Linked DNA regions of Mus musculus. The protein of the gene in region 1 binds, or shares a complex with, the protein of each later gene. Links are inferred from orthologs where the notes say so. Each region holds a gene or a part of one and is shown in the gene's direction. Other genes may lie near its edges. The genes, in order: Casp8, Ripk3, Ripk1, Aim2, Mefv and Zbp1.

What was found.
Region 2: Casp8 (region 1) and Ripk3 share a complex: the UniProt entries of both Homo sapiens proteins name them as parts of the AIM2 PANoptosome complex. The link is inferred for Mus musculus from reciprocal best matches to the Homo sapiens genes CASP8 and RIPK3.
Region 3: Casp8 (region 1) and Ripk1 share a complex: the UniProt entries of both Homo sapiens proteins name them as parts of the AIM2 PANoptosome complex. The link is inferred for Mus musculus from reciprocal best matches to the Homo sapiens genes CASP8 and RIPK1.
Region 4: Casp8 (region 1) and Aim2 share a complex: the UniProt entries of both Homo sapiens proteins name them as parts of the AIM2 PANoptosome complex. The link is inferred for Mus musculus from reciprocal best matches to the Homo sapiens genes CASP8 and AIM2.
Region 5: Casp8 (region 1) and Mefv share a complex: the UniProt entries of both Homo sapiens proteins name them as parts of the AIM2 PANoptosome complex. The link is inferred for Mus musculus from reciprocal best matches to the Homo sapiens genes CASP8 and MEFV.
Region 6: Casp8 (region 1) and Zbp1 share a complex: the UniProt entries of both Homo sapiens proteins name them as parts of the AIM2 PANoptosome complex. The link is inferred for Mus musculus from reciprocal best matches to the Homo sapiens genes CASP8 and ZBP1.

What each region holds. Positions count from the first base shown.
Region 1 is NC_000067.6:58,794,196-58,798,173, forward strand, and holds the start of Casp8 (caspase-8), read left to right. Parts: upstream 1-1,178; 5' UTR 1,179-1,543; intron 1,544-3,978. UniProt on the Homo sapiens protein: Thiol protease that plays a key role in programmed cell death by acting as a molecular switch for apoptosis, necroptosis and pyroptosis, and is required to prevent tissue damage during embryonic development and adulthood.
Region 2 is NC_000080.6:55,786,058-55,790,078, reverse strand, and holds the start of Ripk3 (receptor-interacting serine/threonine-protein kinase 3), read left to right. Parts: upstream 1-1,221; 5' UTR 1,222-1,442; coding exon 1,443-1,462; intron 1,463-1,616; exon of another isoform or gene 1,617-1,697; coding exon 1,698-1,841; intron 1,842-1,945; coding exon 1,946-2,255; intron 2,256-2,639; coding exon 2,640-2,797; intron 2,798-2,918; coding exon 2,919-2,965; intron 2,966-3,062; exon of another isoform or gene 3,063-3,154; coding exon 3,155-3,322; exon of another isoform or gene 3,323-3,428; coding exon 3,429-3,496; intron 3,497-3,720; coding exon 3,721-4,021. UniProt on the Homo sapiens protein: Serine/threonine-protein kinase that activates necroptosis and apoptosis, two parallel forms of cell death. Necroptosis, a programmed cell death process in response to death-inducing TNF-alpha family members, is triggered by RIPK3 following activation by ZBP1.
Region 3 is NC_000079.6:34,015,863-34,019,362, forward strand, and holds part of Ripk1 (receptor-interacting serine/threonine-protein kinase 1), read left to right. Parts: intron 1-1,134; coding exon 1,135-1,284; intron 1,285-3,500. UniProt on the Homo sapiens protein: Serine-threonine kinase which is a key regulator of TNF-mediated apoptosis, necroptosis and inflammatory pathways.
Region 4 is NC_000067.6:173,458,604-173,462,103, forward strand, and holds part of Aim2 (interferon-inducible protein AIM2), read left to right. Parts: intron 1-1,094; coding exon 1,095-1,246; exon of another isoform or gene 1,247-1,499; intron 1,500-3,303; coding exon 3,304-3,500. UniProt on the Homo sapiens protein: Sensor component of the AIM2 inflammasome, which mediates inflammasome activation in response to the presence of double-stranded DNA (dsDNA) in the cytosol, leading to subsequent pyroptosis.
Region 5 is NC_000082.6:3,715,325-3,719,392, reverse strand, and holds the start of Mefv (pyrin), read left to right. Parts: upstream 1-1,268; 5' UTR 1,269-1,330; coding exon 1,331-1,607; intron 1,608-3,264; coding exon 3,265-4,068. UniProt on the Homo sapiens protein: Involved in the regulation of innate immunity and the inflammatory response in response to IFNG/IFN-gamma.
Region 6 is NC_000068.7:173,216,123-173,220,333, reverse strand, and holds the start of Zbp1 (Z-DNA-binding protein 1), read left to right. Parts: upstream 1-1,411; 5' UTR 1,412-1,558; coding exon 1,559-1,592; intron 1,593-3,325; coding exon 3,326-3,562; intron 3,563-4,211.

The sequences.
Region 1 (3,978 bases):
ATGAAATTTGCCAGCAAATGGATGGAACCAGAAAACAAAAACAAAAACAAAAACCTATCCTGAGTGGGGTAACTCAGACCCAGAAAGACAAGCATGGTACGTACTCACTTATAAGCAGACATTAGCTATAAATTACAAGATAATCATGCTACAATCCACAGACCCAGAGAGGCTAAGTAACAAGGAGCCATCTCCCTAGGAGGGAGAAATAGAGTAGGTATCATGGGATTGGAACTGGGGGCATGTGGGGATGGGAGCAGAGGGATCAGGTTGGGCGAGGATGGAGGGAGAGAGTATGGCAGAGAAGACTGGAATGTGGGGGCTAGAAACCTATCAGGGTGACCCTTGCTATGACTCCTAGTAATGAGGGGTTTGGAGCTGTCTGCTGTAGCCAGGCAAGCCTTCCAGTGGAGAGACTGGGACACCAACTCAGACCCCAAACCTCTGACCTACCATTTATCCTGCCTGCAGGATGTGCTGGAGAAAAGATGGCACAGAACTTGTGGGAGTCTCCATCCAATTACTAGTCTCTCTTGAGACTTGTGCCACAAGAGGGAGGCCACCTCTGACACTGAATTCATGGAGGTCAGGAACAAGAGGCTGGATGCCCCAGACAGCTAAGATAGAACTGAACATGACCAAAAAAAAAAAAAAAAAAAAAAAAAAGCATGAAATGTTTTCTAATCATATTCTGCCATACTTGTAGACAGAAATCTAACATAGTCGCCATCAGAGAGGCCTACAGCCACACAATAGGCAGAGCTTGGGGAATCCTACAGGATATGGGGAGGAAGGATTGTAGGAATCAGAGCTCAAGGGCACCACAAGAAAACTCACAGAATCAACTAACCTGGCCTCATAGGCACTCACAGAGACTGAACCAACAATCAGCGATCCTGATGGATCTGACCTAGGCCCTCAGCATAGCTGGTTGTTTGGTTCAGTGTGAAATCACTTTCTTCTTGTAGTTGGCTCCTTTAAACTTTGTGTGTGTGTGTGTGTGTGTGTGTGTGTGTGTGTGTGTGTGTGTTCGTTCGTTCATTCCATTAGCTCTGGTTCCACTGTCTCTGGGATAGCCTGGAACTTGCTTGTTCTAATCTTCCTGTCCCTACCTCCGAGAGTGCTGACATTTCTAGAGCAGAGGGTTTCTGCGTGAAAGGAGGTGTGGTTGGACTGGGGGAATAAGGAAGTGTCCTCCAGAACTGGCGGGAGCTCTTAAGGCGGGCAGAAAGCGAAGCAGCCTATGGCCTCTAGGGCTGGCACCAGGATGCCACCTCTAATGATTAACTCAAACGCCTCTAAACATTCGGAGGCATTTCTGTCCCCTATGCCCTAGTTCTCTCAGTTGTCTTTCATTCTGACTTCGGTGCTTAAAAGTCCAGCTTCTCGGAATCGGTAGCAAACCTCTGTGAGCCGGCGTGGAACAGGAAGTGAGTACAGTTCTGGGGAGCGCCGGCCCGGGCTGGAGGCTCGGAAAGCCCAAGCCAGCGGAGGCCTCGCCCGAGCTGGAGTTGTGACCGGCGCGGCAGGTACTCGGCCACAGGTGAGTGCTGCAGAGCAGTCGGGTTCCTTTCCCACCAGCGGGCCGAGATCCCACCGGTGGGTGTCGATCTCGCGTGGCGCTCCCCGAAATGCAGCCATCGGGGTGCCGTCGCCGCCTCTCCAGAAAACTTTATTGGACTTCTTAGGCTTACTTTCTTTGTAGTTTGGCTCAGGACCTGGAGCTGAGTTAATCCTCCGGGGAGTCCTCTAGCTTGAGCTGCGTTTCCTCCGGCGATTTTCGTGCTCTTCCCAACTCAGACGTCCATCAACTCTAATCCCAAATTCTCTCTTCCTTTCTCCTTCTCCTCCAACATCTCCCCTCCCTTTTTCTCTCCCTCTTCTTCTCTTTGCCTTCTCCTCTCCCTCCCTCTCCTCTTCCTCTCTCCCTCCCTCCCTCTGTCCCTCTTTGGTTTCATGATTTCCTGCAGAAGCTCAGGCTTCTTGAACTTACGACCTTGCTTCCACCTCCTGAGTGCTGGCAGTACAGGGGGTGGGGGGTCGTAGGGCACTAGCTCTGCACTTAAAACACCAACCCCCCACCCCCTCACCCCAACCCCCACAGAGAGGGGATGAGAGAGGAGGGAGGGAGGGGGCTACAGGTGACCTGAGGCCGGTAATTCCTCTACGTGCTAAGCAGTTGTAAGGGTGACTGGCTTGTTAAGTACCTGTAAGGAATTATCATACAGTCATATTTCTGTTTCTTCTTTCTTTCTTTCTTTCTTTCTTTCTTTCTTTCTTTCTTTCTTTCTTTCTTTCTTTCTTTCTTTCTCTCTCTCTCTCTCTCTCTCTCTCTCTCTCTCTTTCTTTCTCTTTCTTTCTTTCCTTCCTTCCTTCCTTTCTTTTCTTTTCTTTTCTTTTCTTTTCTTTTCTTTTTTCTTTCTTTTTTTTCTTTTTCTTTTTTGTCTTTTTAAAGGGAGTCCTCTAAGTGCCTTCTGCTTGGCTAGGTCTCAGTTTCATTCTTTAAAAAATTATTTATTTCTATTTTAATTTCATGAGTATGAGTATTTTGCCTGCATGTATGTATGTGCACCTGGTACTGGGCGGGGGGGGGGGGGGTGGCGGCACAGATTCCTTGAACTGGATTTACAGACAGTTTCAGCCATTATATGGGTGCTGGAAACTGAACCCAGGTGGTCTGCAAGAGCATTGAGTGCTCTTAAACTCCTGAGTTGTCTCATCGACAAATCTTTCTTTTTTTAAATAAATATGGCATTGATTGAATTAGCATGAGGACGATTAGTGCTCCCGTTTCTTACAAACCTATTTAAAGAAGACTCAAGAACTCGTATGTGGACACAGAGGAGTTGCTGGTCATGGCTGTGTGTCTCCCATGTCTCTTTCCCAGGAGGGAGAAAGGTGACCCCATAGCAGGCCATTTAGCTGTTATTTGATTTTGCCCAGTAATTTCTGTTTGTGGGTAGGTTCACTCCAGGAACTAATATGATTTCTCCAGCAGCCTGCATAGCCTGACCACCTCACCCTATCAGGTTGCTCTTTTTTCTTTTTCTTTTCTTTTCTTTCTTTCTTTTTTTTTAATCTTCCAACTTAAAAGAAATTCTAATAAGAAAGTGGGCATCTTCTTGCTTTATTTGACATTCCTCGGATTTACTGACCCATGTGATGTGTCATCCTATGCTCTCATGGGCTTAGTGCCTATAGGGGAGCTCCATGTGTTTTTTCCAGCAAGACCACACCCCCATTGCCCCTGTACAGAGGTTCATTGCCTCTTTACACAGTATCTTCTCATTGATGATTTTCAGGCTGTTGTTATGTGGTTCAAGTATTACCATGAGAGCTTCAGTTGCTGCACTCACAGGAAGTTCGTGGTCTCTGACAGGAAATTCTCAGAAAACAGTGAGCCAGAACTGGGGTAGAGGTTATAGAGGATGCTGGGAAAACTATAGTAACTCCTGGAGTGGACTGGGCCACAGACAGGATTTGATTTTGCTGCTTCCATGGTGCCCAGGTTCCTGGGCAGAATCAAATGCCAGCTAAAGGTCCTGGTACGATGGTGTCACCTTTGCCCAGACATCGAGGGTGGACATATGCTTTTGGGCGCCTCATTCAGTTCCCTCAGCTGTGAAGTTGGCGCTCTTTACTCTGAAAGTTTACATTCTATTTTAGGTAGCAGAAAACACAGTTTCAAAGTCCTTTTCTTTTTCTTCTCTTTAACACCAGAAAATATTTTAACTAATTCCCAGCAAGGAGCTTATGTGTTTGTACACAGGTTTGCTCACACAATGAAGGACCCAGGGTTTGCCTCTTTGGGGAGTTTGCTGTAGGAAAGCCCTGATTTTGACTTTAGGCTTATTTTTTGTTTGTTTGTTTGTTTGGTTGGTTGGTTGGTTGGTTTTTTTTGTTTTTTTGTTTGTTTGTTTGTTTGTTTTGTTTTGTTTTGTTCTGTTTTAGCTGTAAGTAGAAACTATCGAACTAGGA
Region 2 (4,021 bases), on another chromosome or scaffold:
CAGTGGCTCGATTGCAGGGCCAGCACACCTATCCTCATTACAACACCCTGGCATAGACCCTGGGCCTTCCAGCTCCACAACCCCTACTTAGTAGCTGCTCTTGCTGAGCAGGGATTCCAAGAGGTCCTTTAGTGCATACTGCGTGCCTCATACCTTACCTGCACCACAGGTAGATTTATATAGCCCAGAGGCATTGTCAAGAAGAATAAGCTAACTTGAGCTGGAGTGTGTGTGTGTGTGTGTGTGTGTGTGTGTGTGTGCCGCTTAGTAGGCAAAATTCTTGTCATGCAAGCATGAGGACCTGAACTCATATTCCCACAACTAAAGTGACATTGGGGACAGTAGCCCATGTATACCATGCCAGTGTTCCTACAGCAAGATGAGAGACAGGAGAATACTGGGACATTAACAGGCTAACACATAGCATTATGCACACAGCAGAGAACAAACTGACCCTATCTCAAACAAGGTCGAACACCTACACACACACACACACACACACACACACACACACACCATGACATGCACCCCTTCACCACATGCATGGTCATGCACACACATAAATAAATTTTAAGATAAATAAGAAAGCCAAGCATGGTGGCGTACACCTTTAATCCCAGCATTTAGTCAGGAGGCAGATGCAGATGGCTCTCTGTGAGTTTGAGTCAACCTGGTCTGTATACTCGAGTCCCAGATCAACCAGGGCTCCAAAAAGAGACCCTGTCTCAAAAGTAAGTAAGTAAGTAAGTAAGTAAGTAAGTAAGTAAATAAATAAATAAATAAATAAATAAAATAAGGGCTACCTTGGTGGAGCAGAACTCGGTTCTAAACTAGTCCCATACTTACTTGGCCAAGCGATTTAAACTTTAAGTACTTGGGTTTCCTCCTCTATAGAAAAGAAAACACGGTTGATCTAAGAAGCCAGTATGTGTACCTGGCCCAAGACAACCCTTACTAGAAGCGTTACTCCGTGATCTTAGGACCATAAAATCCTCCTGATCTCCATCCTCCCTTCATCAAAATGTGGTTGGCAAGCGGTGGAGCTAAGGGGTCCAAGAGAGACTGGCTATCGTGGGGAGTCAATCGTTCCTGGATGGTGAGGACACCTTTTGTGGCACGCCCAGTGCCTGGGCGCTTCTCGGGTGGAAGCAGTTTCAAGGCACGTGCACAGGAAATAGCCCCAAAGTTTTCAATGCTCCACCCCAGGGGGCGGAGATAGAAGGAGCCTCTTATTTGAAAGGGAAGTTGTGAAGTCGCTCATTCAAAGTCCGGGGGAGCGACCTGGGAAGCGGAATTCGGGGCCTGAACCTCCGTGCCTTGACCTACTGATTGTTCCCTTTGCAGACCCTGCCTTCCTCTCAGTCCACACTCCGAGCCGTAGACGTCGGGTTTCCAGCTCCGTCTGTGCACACATAACTCCAGGAAGCCGCTAGCTCCCGACGATGTCTTCTGTCAAGTTATGGTGAGTGGGGAGTGAGCTGTGTCTCCGGCACACCCACACAGGTGGCCCGGGGACACACTCAAAGGACGCCTTTTCTGAGGCAGGGGACAAAGCTGGGGGTGAGGCGGGCAGCAGTGGGGAGGCTAGACTCGCTGCCTACGCTGCCCACGCGCAGTCACGGAATCCCGGAGCTTGGGAGACAGAGGATGCGCTAGGCTGGGGGATGGGCCCCCTACCGGACAAGAACCTTTCTCAGGCCTACTGGTGCGTCAGCGGTTCCTCTGGTGAGCCGTGAAGAACTGAAGAAGCTGGAGTTTGTGGGTAAAGGAGGGTTCGGAGTCGTGTTCCGGGCACACCACAGAACATGGAACCATGATGTAGCAGTCAAGATCGTGAACTCGTGAGTGACCCCAGCTGTAGTCAGAGTGTGGTCACGAGCCTGAGTGGGGCAAGGGTGGGGTCTTCCAGAGCGCAATCCAATTTTGGCCCCCTTTCGGCGTGTAGGAAGAAGATATCCTGGGAGGTGAAGGCTATGGTTAATCTTCGTAATGAGAACGTTCTGCTCCTGCTGGGGGTCACTGAGGACCTCCAGTGGGACTTCGTGTCCGGGCAGGCTCTGGTGACAAGATTCATGGAGAATGGCTCCCTCGCAGGGCTGCTGCAACCCGAGTGCCCTCGGCCCTGGCCACTCCTCTGTCGCCTGCTGCAGGAAGTGGTGCTGGGGATGTGCTACCTACACAGCTTGAACCCTCCGCTCCTGCACCGGGACCTCAAGCCCTCTAACATTCTGCTGGATCCAGAGCTCCACGCCAAGGTTAGTCCATCTACAACCTAGTGTAGACTTGGGACCATGTTGAGTACCTGTCCCTCTGAATACAAGACTACACACATGACAAGACCCAACTAGGAGTTTTATTTCTAGTCATACCAGGTGACCCTCCTTACCAGACGCCCTTCTTAACCCCCTGGCTCAGTTCCACAGGCCTAATGCACCCTCACGGACCCAGGCTGACTTATCTCAGGCCTGCCCATCAGCAACTCAGATCTCCTGCTAAGTTCTCAATGACTTTACCTTCCCTCTGGTCCTCCATAACACCTTCCAAAAAGCTGAGGCTGCTGCATCTTCTGGGGAGCAAGAGAGGGAAAAATCTCTGACCCCCCCCTTCATCTAATACCTTCCCTTTCCTTTCCTTTACAGCTAGCAGATTTTGGCCTGTCCACGTTTCAGGGAGGGTCCCAGTCAGGGTCAGGATCAGGATCAGGATCCAGGGACTCTGGGGGCACCCTAGCGTACTTGGACCCAGAGCTGTTATTTGATGTCAACCTGAAGGCTTCTAAAGCGAGTGATGTCTACAGGTAAACCATCCACCCCAAACACACTCCAAATCTCTATACCAATTTGGGCCCTTCTAAAGGGAATGATACAGGAAAGAAGTCTCGCCAGAGGCCATCTAAGCCTCCATTTGTGTCTGTACAGCTTTGGGATCCTCGTGTGGGCAGTGCTGGCTGGCAGAGAAGCTGAGTGTAAGACTCCAAATGGAGTACCCGAAAGCACCTAAACCCCCCTGGAGCCCTCCCTTTTACCCTGACCCACTAACACACTGCCCTCTTCCCACCTCACCTCTCACTTGGATGACTCTCCCTGCTCCTGTCCGCGATAGAATGGGCTGTCCCCTCATTTCATGAATTCCTTATGTTATCCCCCAACTCCAGTGGTAGACAAGACTTCACTAATCCGGGAAACAGTGTGTGACAGGCAGAGTCGTCCTCCACTGACAGAGCTGCCTCCAGGTAGCCCTGAGACTCCCGGCTTGGAAAAACTGAAGGAGTTAATGATTCATTGCTGGGGTTCCCAGTCCGAAAACAGGCCATCCTTCCAGGGTGAGTTGGCCGTATCTCTGGCAACTAGGGTAGGCTTGGGTCTTCAGCAGGGAGCTCCTCCAAGGAAAGAAATCCGACTCATATACAACTCGCTGTTGTCTTTCAGACTGCGAACCAAAAACCAATGAAGTTTACAATCTGGTAAAGGACAAGGTAGATGCTGCTGTCTCCGAGGTGAGTTTCTAGCACTGCCTTCCCATCCAGGAACTGTTGGGAGATGGCACAAGTGGCTCCCTTAACCATTCAGTTTATCTTCACTGGCCACCATTATTTAATCCTTGGTTGTCATTCCCATTCACCAGAACCTACTCCTTAGTCTCCAGAGACCAAGAAAATTTTCACTGGGGTTTACTTTGGCTGCCCCAGCTCCTGACAACAAGGTCCCCCTGTCTGCACAGGTAAAGCATTATCTGTCTCAGCACAGAAGCAGCGGCAGAAACTTGTCTGCCAGAGAGCCAAGCCAAAGAGGCACAGAAATGGATTGCCCGAGGGAAACCATGGTTTCTAAAATGCTGGACCGCCTGCATTTGGAGGAACCCTCCGGACCAGTTCCTGGAAAATGTCCTGAGAGGCAAGCACAGGACACATCAGTTGGGCCTGCCACACCAGCAAGGACATCTTCTGACCCCGTGGCTGGCACTCCTCAGATTCCACATACTTTACCCTTCAGAGGCACAACACCTGGGCCAGTCTTTACTG
Region 3 (3,500 bases), on another chromosome or scaffold:
TTGCTGATGTCTCTTAAACCTTAGTCTCTGACTATGATCAAGATATTCACAGACCTGTTAGACCCAGCAGATACACACACCCCACATAGATACCACATACATATAGACACACATACACAGAGAGAGAGAGGGGGAGAGAGAGAGAGAGAGAGAGAGAGTGCCTGAAATATATTAGGTACTCAGGAGACCTTTGTTGAATTAGTCATCCCAGTTTAGAATAAACTCATGGGGTAAGTAGACTACTTTATAGTATAGCTTAGCTTGGGAGTTGCTATAAAACTCCACTATTCTTCTAGAGTAGGAACTTACTACCAGGCATACACCCCATACCTTGATTCTATTTGTGAATGAGCCTTTTTCATTATCTACTGTGGACAGTTCAGTCAGCTGGGAATGGAAAGGTAACTAAATCATTGTTTGTACAGGGGAAAAGTCATCCTTCGGTTTGGTTAAGTGTGGAAAGGAAGGACTACTTTCTGTGACTTCTTCGTGATTACTAACCCCAGTAGATCAGGGATCACCATCTCTTTGCTGATATCTCTTAAACCTTAGTCTCTGACCATGACCAAGATATCGACAGACCTGTTAGACCCAGCATTTATACCACAAGCACCTCCAAAGTAGCATCCCCCAAACAAGTTGCCAAGTTTATGAGCACAGTACAGGTTGCTTACCACCTGCACTGAGTGGCACAATAAGCAACTTTAACTGTTCTCATCATGATTGTTTTTACCAGAACCCATCATTCTTACTTCTAGAGTATTAGTTAGCATGTATATTTCAAGTCACTCTCCTTAAACTGAGCTTCTTAAAGCTCAGACCATCCTGTATTTGCCTCTGTATTGAACTCGGGAGAATGCCATGACTTTACCCGTTTGTTTGTTCTGTGAAAAGGTAGCTTTGTTTTGAATTTTGTTTCTCTTCTGCAAAATCAAAACATCATCCTACCATTTCTGTAGTAGTCTGCATCAATTCCTTGCCACAAGACTGTTACTTTATGGAATGAGACAGCCATGGAAAAATCATATCCTAGATAGAGAGACAAAAGAGCAGTATTATCCAGGTCCTGGCATCTTCCTGCTTGAGAGTAAAGTGTAACTGAAAGCCCCAACTGAAGTTCACCCCTCTTTGCAGATGTCATCTGTACTGAGCAGTTCGTGATCTGCATAAAATCTGGGAACAGGCCAAATGTAGAGGAAATCCTTGAGTACTGTCCAAGGGAGATCATCAGCCTCATGGAGCGGTGCTGGCAGGCGATCCCAGAAGACAGGCCAACATTTCTTGGTAAGAATGGGTTGCGTGCCTATTTAGGATGCATCTAACATAGTGACTCTCTTCAGTAAGGTGACACTGGTAATTTAGTTACTTTTCCTATTGCTATGACAAAATAGACGACAAAGCAACTCAAAGAAAAGGTTTATTTTGGCTCAGTTTAAGGGTAAAGTCTACCATGGCAGGACGCCACAGTAGCTACAATACAAGGCAGTTGCCCACATTGCATCTAGAGCCAGGAAGGAGACAGACATAGATGCTGGCAGTCATTTGCTCTCTTGTATTCAGTGCAAGGTCTCAGCCCATGGGATAATGCTGCGCACATTCAGGGTGAGCTTTCCCTGCTTCACACCCCCACAGGCACACCCAGAACTGTGTTCCCTAGTGTCACCCAGAAGTGCGACCGTAAATCCAATCAAGTTGGTAAGGAAAATCAGCCATCACAGTTAGAAACATATGTTGAATACCACATCACATGTAGCTTCAAACTGACTAGATAGATATCAAGCACCTTGTCAATGAAAAGGTCCTACCCGTCCCCAAAGCATGGGCTTCTTCATTTCCTCCTTTAGTTTCGGGGGATTAGCACTGTTATTGTTTTGGGTTTTGTTTTGTTTTGTTGTTTTGTTTTGTTCTTTTCGAGACAGGGTTTCTCTGTGTAGCCTTGGCTGTCCTGGAACTCACTCTGTAGACCAGGCTGGCCTTGAACTCAGAAATCCGCCTGCCTCTGCCTCCCGAGTGCTGGGATTAAAGGTGTGCACTACCCGGCTACTGTTACTGTTTTGAAGCACATATAATGCTTTCCATTTTAGCTCTTGTAAGTATACTGTCCAGTGGTGTGAAATCCATTCTGCTTTTTCAACATTTACCACAATTTATTTCCAAGTTTCCTCAGCCAGAGCACAGCTCTGTACTCGGGAAGCATTAGCTCTGCGTCCCCTTTCCTCTCTTCTCTTCCCAGCCTTAGCAGTCACCATTCTGTTGACTTTGACTTCCCCAAGTGTCTCATGTAAGCCAAAATTGCACAATACTTCTGTTTTGTATCTGTCTTGTTTTACAGACTAAGTCTTTAAGGTTCATCCATGTGGTAGTATGTGTCCGAATTTCCTTTTTATTGCAGAATAAGATTCTACTCTATAGATAGTTTTTGTGTGAGTGTTCATCTGTTGATAAACACTTGCCCTAACCATTTCTAGCTTCTTTCACTTATTTGCCTCCCTAGTTAACATTCTTATTAGTATCCTTAGGAATGAATTCTGCCATTTAGGTTAGCCCTGTAGTTGAGGAAATTGAAGGAGACATGAGCGTTTGGCCCGTTCTGCACCCATCCTATCCCCTAGATTACCTAGGAGTATGAAGTAGGCCAAAGGAGAAGAGCAGAGATACAATAGGAGGCATTCAGGAATGTACAAAGCATCATGTTGTTGTATTTATGTGAGAAAAGAGAACTGGAGTGCCACCCATTCCCACTGTATAGACCAAGCTGACCTCAAATTTACAGAAATCCCCTGCCTCTGCCATCTGGTTGCTGTGATTAAAGGTATGCCACCATGCATAGCTAAAGCCCCATCTGTTACAAGTCCCACAACTCCTGACCGTGTTGCTGGCTGAGGACCAGGTCATACACTGAAGGTTGTTCAAAATTCAAACTGTAGCATTTTCTTGTAGGTTCTTAAACTTGTTCTAGAGTTTTAGTTTGATTCATCTGTGGTGTTTTTTTCTTGCATGGTTTTCAAGGACATTCTAGGCATGATATTATCCATATGTTATTTGATCATATGGTTTAATTTTCCAGTTTGCCATTTTATCACCCTGAGTTAAGTATGTAAACCTTTCCTTTCTCCTTATGCATTTCTCATTTATACATGTGGAATGCATCAGACTATGTTGCAGCTTTCCTTCAGTCTTCATAAACTCTAAAAGAAAGTTTTTTGCTTTTATTTACCCATTGTTTTGATTGTCATGCGTCATTTTTCCGATGCTACATATATTTACACTTCTAACACTATGCAGGCTATCATGACATTCCACATTTAAGAGCTTAGTCTCATGTGACTATCACCACATGGTACCCACTTAGGATGCCTAGGCTTCTGCCCAGCTGACTATGAGTTTGGGTGTATATTCCCCATCTCAGGCTTAGAATAGACTCATCTGGCTCAAAAAATATTGCACTTAAATATAACTCAATGTTATAAAACATTAAATTCAGAAACAACCAGATAGAA
Region 4 (3,500 bases), about 110 Mb from region 1:
TTCCCCCCAGTTTGGGCTCATGCTGAACCACAGGCTAAGCTCAAAACTCATCCCAGTCCCATCACTTCTTGGTCACCAGGCTTGAGGAGACCAGGTCCTCTACTCCAAAGAAATATCGGACACAATTGCCTTTAACAAGAAGCCTTTTTATTTTTTTTCAAACACTGGGGCTGAGTAGGGTGATTTTCTCAATAGGCTGTGGCTGGGTTAGGTCAGATGATTCCTTTCAAAGACATCTGTGTGCATGAAATTACCTATAATCTTCAGGAAGCCTGATACATTGCTCTCAGGTTGGGTGGGGTCAGCATTCCACAGTGGAGTTCAGGCAGATTCGGATTCTGTGCTCCACACATGTGCGTATGTGTATGCCTTTTACAGTGTAGTAAGACAAGTGGAAAGTTGGCTATGATTCAAAGCTAGCAAAGATGCTATTGGATGTTCTCTTTGATTGGGTGACTCCACAAGGCAGACCACATATCAGTCACAGGAAGACCCATTTTATTTTGTTTATTTCTAACTGACTTCCATTATTCTAGTCTTGCCAATGTACTCAACAGTTCTCATGGGGTGGGATGAGATGAGAGTGAGCCTTCTACAATGCCTGCATACTACCGGAGTGCCACATGCACACTCCTTGTCCTTAATCCTCACCTTAGGAGGTGTAGGGCTGTGGGCTTCTCTCTACATGGTACTTTCCCATTTTGGGAAGGAGAAAACAGTTAAAATGAAAACATTCCTCTCTACCTCTAGAGGAACTTTTCTCAGCCTTAATGTTCTAGATGGCACCTCTGTTACCTTCTGAGATTTCCCCAAGGTGCCTTGTCTGTGCATAGTCCTGTGTCATGTTCTTGTGAGGACCTGAAGATGGGAAACTCCTAATCTATCACCCTGCTGTTGTCTCCCTTCTAATTTTCTTCTTAAAAATTAACGATATTTTAATGATATTTTAATTAACATTAGAATTCTAACGAGAATTCTAATTCTCAGCCATGCTTACTCATAGATTTTAATGTATCTGTTACTTGTTTCTTCCCCTTCCCCTTCACCTTCTCCTTTTCTTCTTCTCACCCTCCTCCTTTTTTTTTCTCCTTCAGCTGAACGTAAACTCATGACCAATACAAAGAAGAGAGGAACACAGAAGGTAGAAAATAGAAGTCAAGCTGAAAACTGCTCTGCTGCCTCTGCCACCCGCAGTGACAATGACTTTAAGGAACAGGCTGCTACAGAAGTCTGTCCTCAAGCTAAGGTGGCTAGTGACACTCTTATCACTATCCCTCTCCTCCAGCACTCGAAGCCTTCTGTTCTTTATCTCTGAGCATACAAATCAGGAAAACCGGGCTACGATAGGAGAGATATGTCTGCATTACAAAAAGAAAAATCACTTCTATTCATCAGCGTCCATGCCCAGGAAGCTTCTAATTTCTGCCATGCTCTGGACATGATAACCTGTTGCTATGTTAACCTCTCTTTGACGAAAACTCTGACAGGGACCTTTTTCAGTGAGTATGTTTCAGGTTGCTCTCAGCATCAGTTCTTGTGAGGAGGTTTAGGATGAGGGGATGGGGAAAGTTTCTAGTTCAATGGAACTGCAGCAAAGAATTTGACCTGTTCCACAGGAGACTTAGGGTCCAGGGATGCCCTTCAGGATTGTTGCAACGTAGTTGGAAAACACAGTCCCTTTAGTCACGATGTGCCTGCTCTTATTGTCATGAAATGACTCTTTGTAGCAGAGGGGATAAAACTGGAAGAGAGTCCTTGTCCCTTAGTCCTGACAGAGCAGCATATAGGGATCCATCACAAAATCCACCAAGCATCTGCAATTTCATTTTCTGTAAAGAAAGTGTCATGAAACTTCATAGAGAAGCTTAGGCTGTGCACACCATTCTATCCAGAGCACCCACTCATTTCTTCTGTGTTTGGCTCAGAAATGTCCAGAATTGTGAAGAAAACAATACCCAAGTTTAAATGTTACATTTTGGTAAGCACCCATAAAAATGCATATTGTATAGTCTCTGAAAAATCCAGTAAAATGCCTAGGACTGAAGACAAATTCTAAAATAGTTCTCAGTGAACTTGATACTTTCCTGCTTTGGATCAAATTGAGAGTGGGATGCCGTTCATCAAATCAGCTCACAGGCTCACATCCCAAGGTTTTGCAGAGATCCAGTTCAAAGCATGTGCTCTGTGCCTCTCTCTTTCTCTCAGGGTCTCCTTTAGTTATGGATTGTTAATTGCTTTTAAAATAGTATTGTTTCTGATACATACACATGCATGAACAAACACACAGTCACATACAGAAATGCGCACATGAACAGTCTCTTATTATTTTTAATTTCTTAATTTGGAAGAACAAAATAAACAAAACAAAACTAAACAAAAAACTAATCCCAGGTTATGTGGGTTATTTGTGCATTTATCCAATAAGGAATGCATTATACTTTATCCTTTGTTAAATCAATTAAAATAGTTTGTTATATTATTCCTATAAAACATTTAATTTTTATATGTTGTATTATAAGACCTTATTTGACAAAATCCATTTTTTGGTATTTAAAAGATTTTGATGATTTATAACTATAAATAATAAGATGTAATTTATGTAAGCCTTAATATATATGCTTCTAAAACATACACATGCGTGGGCAAACACACATACATGCACATTCCTGTACACAGACACACTATCTCCTATTGCTCTTAATTTCTTAATCTGGAAGAACAAAATGGCAAGATGAGAATTTATTCATTCCAAGAATAATTCATTCTTCTAAGAGTAATCTTACCAAGGTAGAGTTGACTCTAATTTTTAATCTCCTTTTAATTCATCTGTAGGATCTCATCCCGAGATCTCTTCCTTTCCTCACATTGAATGATCTGCATTTCTATTATGCACAGGAATATTCCTGGGAATGTGCAGGAGCTCTGCGCACATCACTGAGCTTCCTCACTCTGATGCAAGAGTCAATTACATGCTCAGAGTTGGAGGGGAAAATATGCTGTAGTAGAATTACAAGAAGACAGAGTCAGATTCAGCCCCTTGCAGTGTTTCAGGATTCTGACACACACTTTTCATAGCAAAGAAGGATTCTGATTCAGGAATTTTGTCTCCAGAGTCAGTAAAACTGCCCCGTCTGAACATAGAACACAAAATATCCCTTAGATAATTTTAGGTCTCCAATCTCTTCCTAACGTTATCTCCATTTTCCCTTCAATTCAGCTTCTTTCTTCCTGGGGTTTTACTGTGAATGAAGGCTGCTTGGGTAAGTGTGGACCCTAGCTAACATCTTTTCTCTCTTGTCACAGCCTCAGAAGAAACAGATGGTGGCAGAACAGGAAGCCATCAGAGAAGATTTACAGAAAGATCCACTTGTTGTCACGGTGCTGAAAGCTATAAATCCCTTTGAGTGTGAGACTCAGGAAGGAAGACAAGAGATATTTCATGCAACAGTGGCCACGGAGACAGATTTTTTCTTTGTAAAAGTTTTAAACGCACAGTTTAA
Region 5 (4,068 bases), on another chromosome or scaffold:
TTTCTGTTGTCGTGATCCATACCAAAAGCAATTTGGGAAGGAAAGGGTTTGTTTCATCTTCCAGGTTACAATGCATGGTCAAAGGAAGCCAAGACAGGAAATAAAGCAAGAGCTTGAGGCAGAAATGCTGGAGGAGCAGTGATTGGCTTGCTCTTAGGCTCACATTCTCTCTCTCTCTCTCTCTCTCTCTCTCTCTCTCTCTCTCTCTCTCTCTCTCTCTCTCTCTCTCTCTCTTTTGCTGTTCTGAAACTCACTTTGTGGACCAGGCTGCCCTCCAACTCACAGAAATCCACCTGCCTCTGTCTCTCAAGTGCTGGTTGTAAAGGTGTGTGCCTCCAGCACCACCTGGATTCAGTCACATTTATTGTACATGCCAAAGTCACCTGCTTAGGATGGTATCACCCCCAGTGGGCTTGGCACTCCTCTATTGGATATCAATCAGGAAAAAGCCCCACATACATGCCTACAGGCCATTCTGATGGAGGCATTTTTTCAATTGAGGTTCCCTCTTCCCAAGCATGTCAGATTGACAATCAATGTCAGCCTTCACAGATATCTAGGGTATTTAGAATGATAGATAATAATGCTTTTTATTTATTCTCCAATGGTTAAGACAAAAGTAAAGGAGGCCACAGAAAATTTAACCCAGAAGCAGTTAGTGGACCTAGGAAGCCAGGGCCAAGTTGGCTGTGGGAATAGATGCATGAGAATGCTGGCAACAAAGGTGGTCCGCAGGTCCCGTGTGAACACTTTACGTTGCTGGATAGACTAGACATGGACCAGACAGACTGGACATGCATTGCAGTACCTTTCTGGCTTCTGCTTTCTTGAGAAGGCCCAGGCAAAGCCTATAGGGATTATTTGCTGTTTGTTCCTTCCCCTGCCATTGGCCCTGGAGGTCTATAAACCTCAAGAGTCCAAAGAGAGCAGTTGGCCAGAGGGGACCAACTCCACGTAAGATCATCTCCCTCTTCCACAGCCTAGGGTCCTGAGAGCAAGCAAGAGCTCAGGAGCAGCTGGAAGGTCTGGCTGTCAATCCCAGAGCTACCCTTAGAGTCTGGCCTGCCTGTTGTTTAATCAGGACATAGGCTGGCAAGGTGGAGACCTCCCCACTGGAAAAGACTCTGAATCCTCAAAGAAAGTATGCAGCAGGCTAGACCCTGGACACGCCCTCATTTTTACTCTCAGTTCCCACCAAAGCTGATGTGCTTCCTGCGCCTTGTCCGTTATTTCACAAGCTATTTCTTGCTTGTTCTCAAGTTGCACGAGAGAGGTCATTATCGTTTGCCAGAAGCCACATAGCTGGCTGCAGTCCCTCCTGGCCCGCACCATGGCCAAGACCCTTGGTGATCATCTGCTAAACACCCTGGAGGAGCTGCTGCCCTATGACTTTGAGAAGTTCAAGTTTAAGCTACAGAACACCAGCCTGGAGAAGGGCCACTCTAAGATCCCCCGGGGCCATATGCAGATGGCCAGGCCAGTAAAGCTGGCCAGCCTTCTGATAACCTACTACGGGGAGGAGTATGCTGTAAGGCTGACCCTGCAGATCCTGCGGGCCACCAACCAGCGCCAACTAGCAGAGGAGCTTCGCAAAGCCACAGGCACAGGTAAGTTGCCAAGCCTCTTCCCAGTGGGGATGGATGCTAGCTACTGGTGGTGGATGAGAGGAATGCTCAGACACTAGCTAAGGGTTAGAAAGCCCCTGTCCACTTCAGTCCGAGTAGTGTGAATCTAGCATGCCTCATCCTTCTCTCTGGCCCTTGTAACCTGTTTAGTGAAGCTCCCAGGCTCCCCCCCCACCCCCCAAGACATTAATAATAAAAACTGATATTTCAGCTGTGGGTGAGACTCAGGACAGGTGGATCATGAATGGAGCAAAACCTAGAGAAGTCTTTACTCCATGTTTTCAAGTAATAAGCAAGCCCAGACTATCATCAGGTTAGCAGAAAAGGCTTGAAATTCAACCATACTCACATGTCTGAGAATCTCATTAACCACCCAATTTCAATTGGAGTTCTTCCTTGGGATACTTTACAAGGGTATTTAAACATTCTTTGCTTTTAATGAAAGGTTTCTTCAAATGAAAACCTAAGTTGTTAATCATGGGTTATCTTCATTATGTAGACTTTGAAATTAAACCTTATCTGTCAATATCCTGAAATTGCAGGCAAGTTTGCTTGCTGTTTTTGTTTTTGTTATTTTTTTGGCTTTGATTTCTAGACAGGGCCTCACTATATAGACTACACTTGCTTCAAACTCTAGAGATGCTCCTGCCTCTGTGTCTGAGGTTAGAAACTACACCACCATACCTGTTCCAACGAGTTTCCTTTCTTTTTAAAAATTAATTAATTCATTTAAAGATTTATTTATTTATTTTATGTATATGAGTACAGCATTGCTCTCTTCAGACACACCAGAAGACGGCATCAGATCTCATTACAGATGGTTGTGGGTCACCAACCATGTGGTTGCTGAGAATTGAACTCAGCACCTCTGGAAGAGCAGTCAGTGCTCCATCTCTCCAGTTCCCTCAACTTGTTTTCAAACACCATCTACGTTTACATTTATGACTTGAGGTTTTCTTCAGTTTGTGCCATGATTGAAAATGATTCATTTCTATATGTTCCTTTTTAAATTAAATTTATGTGTGTGGGTGTTTTGTCTGGATATGTGTGTGTACCACTTGCAATCTTGATGTCCACAAAAGCCAGAAGAGGGAATCAGATTCCCTGGATTTGGAGTTACAGATGGTTGTGAGCTACTGTGTGGATTCTGGGAACTGAATCTGGGGGCTGTAGAAGAGCACCCCAATGCTTTGAACTGCTGAGCCACCTCTCTGTCTCTCCAGGCTCCTATTTTAATTTTACTTTGCTTATGTATTTTGTGTCTGTCTGCATATGTAAGTGAGTGTTAGTGTGCTCTGGCATAAAGGTCAGAGGACAACTTGAAGGAATTGATTCGTTCCTCTGTGGTTCTGGAGGCTGAGCTTGTTGGCAAGTGCCTTTACTTACTGAGCTGGTTGCTTTCATCCCTTCCTATTTGCTTTGCTTTATAAGTCAAATGTCACAGGTACAGTCATGCATGCATCTATAACAGTAACCCAGTTTTTATTTACTATGTATTTTATGGTTCTGTGTAATGGACATCTGTTGTCTAGAATGTTCAGTTCTTTGCTTTTATTAACTTCTAAGGAGTTTCTCCCTTCCTCCAACCCCAGCCTTGAATATAGCACAGCTTCATGACTGTATCTTATTGTCTTTCTAGAACATTTAATTGAAGAAAATAGAGTTGGTGGTTCTGTCCAGTCTTCTGTAGAGAATAAAGCCAAGAGTGTGAAGGTACCAGATGTCCCTGAAGGTGATGGGACACAGCAAAACAATGATGAATCAGACACCCTTCCATCCAGCCAGGCTGAAGTGGGGAAGGGACCCCAGAAGAAGTCACTGACCAAAAGGAAGGATCAGAGGGGCCCCGAGAGCCTGGACTCACAGACCAAGCCATGGACAAGGAGCACAGCGCCTCTCTATAGGAGAACCCAGGGCACCCAGTCCCCAGGGGATAAGGAGAGCACAGCAAGTGCCCAGCTCCGCAGGAATGTCAGCTCTGCAGGGAGGCTTCAAGGACTTTACAACAATGCCCCAGGGAGGAGAGAAAGCAAGAAAGCCGAAGTGTATGTATATTTGCCTTCAGGAAAGAAGCGACCCAGGAGTCTTGAAATTACCACTTATTCAAGAGAAGGAGAACCCCCAAATTCAGAAGTTCTTCCAACTCAAGAGGAAACAAGAAATGGGAGTCTCATTCGCATGAGAACAGCTACTCTGAATGGAAGGACTACGGGGGCTTTAGAAAAGGGCACAGGGATTCCAGAGCATTCCATGGTGCTGGATGAAAAAACATTCAGAAACATGTCTTCCAAAACATCGTTGATTGGGGAGGAGAGATGCCCTACATCATGGACGGAAAATGGAAATGGGAGTCCAGAAACCACAGAGTCCTCGGGAGAGACGGCTGGCAGCATACTCTCTGATCCAGAAGTGCCTTTGTCACTATGTGAAAAACCAGCTAAAA
Region 6 (4,211 bases), on another chromosome or scaffold:
AAATAAATAAATAAATCTTTTGTTTTTTAACATTTCTTTATTATGTGTAGAGTACTCTGGAGGAGTCAAGTGGCATTTTCACAGGGGCTACCTAAGACCATTAGAAAGCACAGATCTTTACATTATGTTTCATAACAATAGCAAAATTATGGTTACAAAGTGTTGATGAAAATCATTTCTATGGTGGGGATCACAACGACGTGCAGAGTTAGGATGGTTGAGAGTCACTGACCTAGGAGGCTCTGACTCCTTCCAGGCAGGTCAGCTAATGTAAGGAAGGGAAGGGAAGGGAAGGGAAGGGAAGGGAAGGGAAGGGAAGGGAAGGGAAGGGAAGGGAAGGGAAGAGGAAAATGCTGAAGAAAGGAGTGAGGAGGGCATGTCCTGAAGCCCTGCTAAGTCTGGAGCCACCTTGGTTAGGGACCAAGCAAGACCCCCTGGGCAAGAGGCGGTTGGTGAGCATGCGCCACCTAGTGGTCAGTTTTCAAATGGCGCCTCTAGGGAACCTGGGCAGTGTCCCTCAATGGGGCCAGCTGAGAGTTCATTTAAAAGCGACTTTATTTATTTTGGGTGGCAACAGGCAGTGCGGTTTCTGTTTTCCTTGGCTGGCTCTGCAGGCACTGTTTTTCCTCCCTGGAAGTCATAAAAAAATCACTTGGAAATGTTAATATTTTCCCATGCACAGGCCCATCCTAAGCTGTGTAGACCTGGCCTGGTCTTGGTCCCTTGGTGACCCTTTCAGGTTCTGTAAGGTGAAGCTGACTGGGGACCTGCCACCTCCTGCTTGCTTGGCAGACATCCTCCAGGCACATCACCTCCTTCTAGTCTCCAACGACTGCTGCTGTCTTGCCCTGTGCACCAGTGACCTGCACACCAGACAGGTACAGAGGTCCCAAGATCATGGCCTCTGCACTCACCCCACCTCCACCCTGTAGCCGGGACCCAGATTCTGGGATTATTGTGAGCTGAGTGGTGGACACAAGGCCATCTCTGTGAGCCCCGATCCCCTCTTACGTAATATGGAACAGAGAAGTGTCTGAGCTGTTCACGGGTCACTGAGAATTTATGAAAGTGAGAAAAGGGGCTCTTTTTCTAGAAGGTATGTGAGTAGATGGTACTACACCTGCCTGTGGGCATGTGGGGGAGGCACAGTAGGTGCCTTTTCCTAGATCTATCTTCCTCCTCACAGGGCTTTCACAGAGTTCTCTTCAGATAGAGCTCTCCCGGTGGGAGACCAGTCTCCACCCCAGAGGCCAAGACTCCTCTCTTCTCTGTCACACAGTCATCCAACTCCAGCTTGCTCACCCACCCCGATTTCAATTTCGATTTCGACACCCTTTCTTTCCGAGAACCACACCAAAGTTTCATTTTCTCTTTCTTTGAAAAGCTGGAGGGCGGGGAGGGGATGGAGCCAGATGGGTATTTGTTTCCGGGATGGTAACAGCTGGTGCCTGCAGGTCCAAGCAGCCATTCTTGCCTGTGGATTCAGAGCCCCAGGCCTGACCACAGTGCCAGAAACTGCCACCCCCTGCCCTAAAGGAGCCCCAAGGCTGCTGTGAGCATGGCAGAAGCTCCTGTTGACTTGAGCACAGGAGGTAAGCTAAACCTCTTCCTTCACCTCGCGTGGGTCCCAGCTGATGTTTCTAAGGCTCCTAGCTCTTTCCTTGGCCCAGACAGCAACAGGATTCTGAGGTCACCACAGGGAAGTCAGCTTGCTTCAAGGATCCTGTGCCCCAGATCCTTCATGTCACCTTACCTCATTGATGAGGTCACCAAGGCCTGTGACAGCCCTCGGGCTCCGAACTGTCATTTCAAGAGAGGACTTTGCTTTGATAAGGAGATGTGACTTTGATTTTACATTCAAGCTCTTCTCCTGCCCTATTTGAACCCTTGCTGAGACTACATACCCTGTCTAGGGGCTTCTGGGCTATGGGAGGCTGCGGGGTGCAGGGCTGTGTGAGGCTGCCATGCTGTGGGCAGGATTTAGTTCACTGCTTTTCTTCTTCATCTTTTGAAAAGCACTTCATTTTTGTTTTTTGTTTGTTTGCTTTTGTTTGGTTTGGTTTTTTCGAGACAGGGTTTTTCTGTGTAGCCCTGGCTGTCTTGGAACTCACTCTGTAGACTAGACTGGCCTCGAACTCAGAAATCCGCCTGCCTCTGCCTTCCAAGAGCTGGGATTAAAGGCGTGCGCCACCACGCCCAGCTGAAAATCATTTCTTATTTCAACATACTAGAAGTGGTTGCTCAAAAGCTATCAGGGAGGAGCCAAGCAAAGACCAGAACTAAGGTCACCTGGTTCCCATGGTTTCCTTTCACTGCTAACCTTTCCAGCCTGTCACCTGCAGCCTTCTGCTTTCCAAAGTCCCACTTTCAGACCCTGCAACCAGTCCTTCAAGTTCACCCTTTGGAGAAGGCTTGGCCTGCCTTGTGTGTCCCTAGGGGCCAGTGGGAGAAAGGAATGAAGGAGAGGCCACTACAGGGCACACTCCCCAGCAAAGGTTTTACAAGGCAAGGCAAAGCCAAGTCAGGAATAGATGCTCAGTGCTATAATCCTTCCCCCAACACCCTCCTCCTCCTCCACCCCCACCCCCAGCCCCACCCTGGGGTGGGGCTGTGGCTGAAGCAGGAGGATTGCTATGAGTTCCAGGCTAGCCTGAGCTAGACTTTGTCACAAGAGGAAAGAAAGAAAGGTAGAGGCAGACTCATGGATAAGCAGACAGACGTGCTGGAAGGGACATGAGGTGGAACTTGGGGATCCTCAGGGTTAGACACGGAGGAGGAGGCTGGGTAGCTAGCAGGGGTGGAGGGCTCTGGGAGGAAGCCTTCTGGAGTTGGCAGGCAGGCATCTGGAAGATGACATTGAGGCTGGGTTAAAGAGCTGAGCTGGGTTTTCAGGACTCCTGCTGTATCAGGCAAGGGAGGAGAGACCCATTTTTCTTATCTGCTGGGCTCCTGGGCTGGGAACACCCATGCCTTCGATGTGGGTGCTGAGCAGGAGAGAAAGGGACTCCTGGCCAGGCTGAGAGGCCATCAAGACACCAAATAGGGACTTCAGGGCTAGACTTGGTTTCCTGCCTCTCCCTTTTGTTCCATCGTCCGAGAGTTGGGGGTTCCTACCTGTTTGGGTTCCACATAGTACACAGGGCAGGCTGTATACTATTTTACCATTTGGCCACCCAGACATCTAGTTGTGGGGTGAGGGGCCACCTGACTGACACCCTTGCCTCTGGGTGGTGTCGTCGTTCCTGTCTGCTTGGCCCAGGTCACAGGTGCCTTCTCTGCTCTGGGGACTAGGCTTAACTCAGCTCTTCTCTGGGTTCCTCCCCAGACAATCTGGAGCAAAAGATCCTGCAGGTGTTGAGCGATGACGGCGGCCCTGTGAAGATTGGCCAGCTGGTGAAGAAATGCCAAGTGCCCAAGAAAACCCTCAATCAAGTCCTTTACCGCCTGAAGAAGGAGGACAGAGTGTCCTCCCCAGAGCCTGCAACATGGAGCATAGGCGGGGCTGCTTCTGGAGATGGGGCTCCTGCAATCCCTGAGAACTCCAGTGCCCAGCCTAGCCTTGGTAATCTGTCATGTAGGCAGAGCAGACCCCCCACACACACTAAGCTCTCCTCCCCCCTACACGCACATTAAGAGCCACGAGGCTTGGCTTCAAATCTGAGCTTGGCCATTCCCTCTCTGTCTCTTGATTTCTTCTGGCCAATGGAGCCAAATGTGAAGCTTAGGGCTTATACATAGTAGGTGTGCAATAGACATTAGCAGTAGTGAAGACACACTGCAGGCAATAGTTACACGGATAGTGAGGGCTGATGGGTAAGGATTCACTCAGAGCCTTCAGGTGACTTTGAGAGCCATCAAGAAGAAAGGACCCAGAGTTCCAAGAGCTGATGCGGTCCCCAGGGCCACCTTGCCTTCATTCAGCTCCAGATAGAGACAGGAAAGGAAGCAGCCTTGGGACCTCAACCTTCAGCAGACAGTATCTGTGACCCAAACAGACAGGAGGTCCTGGGTCCCAGCCTAATGTGCTGCCCCCAGCTCCCCTGAGAAATCATTCCCCATGTTTAGTGGAGCAGGGTGTCTCCCATCTCCAACGGACACATCCTTCTTCCAGACTCAAGACCCTAAAGAGATGTAGGTGCAACTTCAGGGGGCCCTGGTCTGCAGCTCAGTGCACCCCCATGGGCCTCTCCAGACCGCTGAAGCTCCACAGG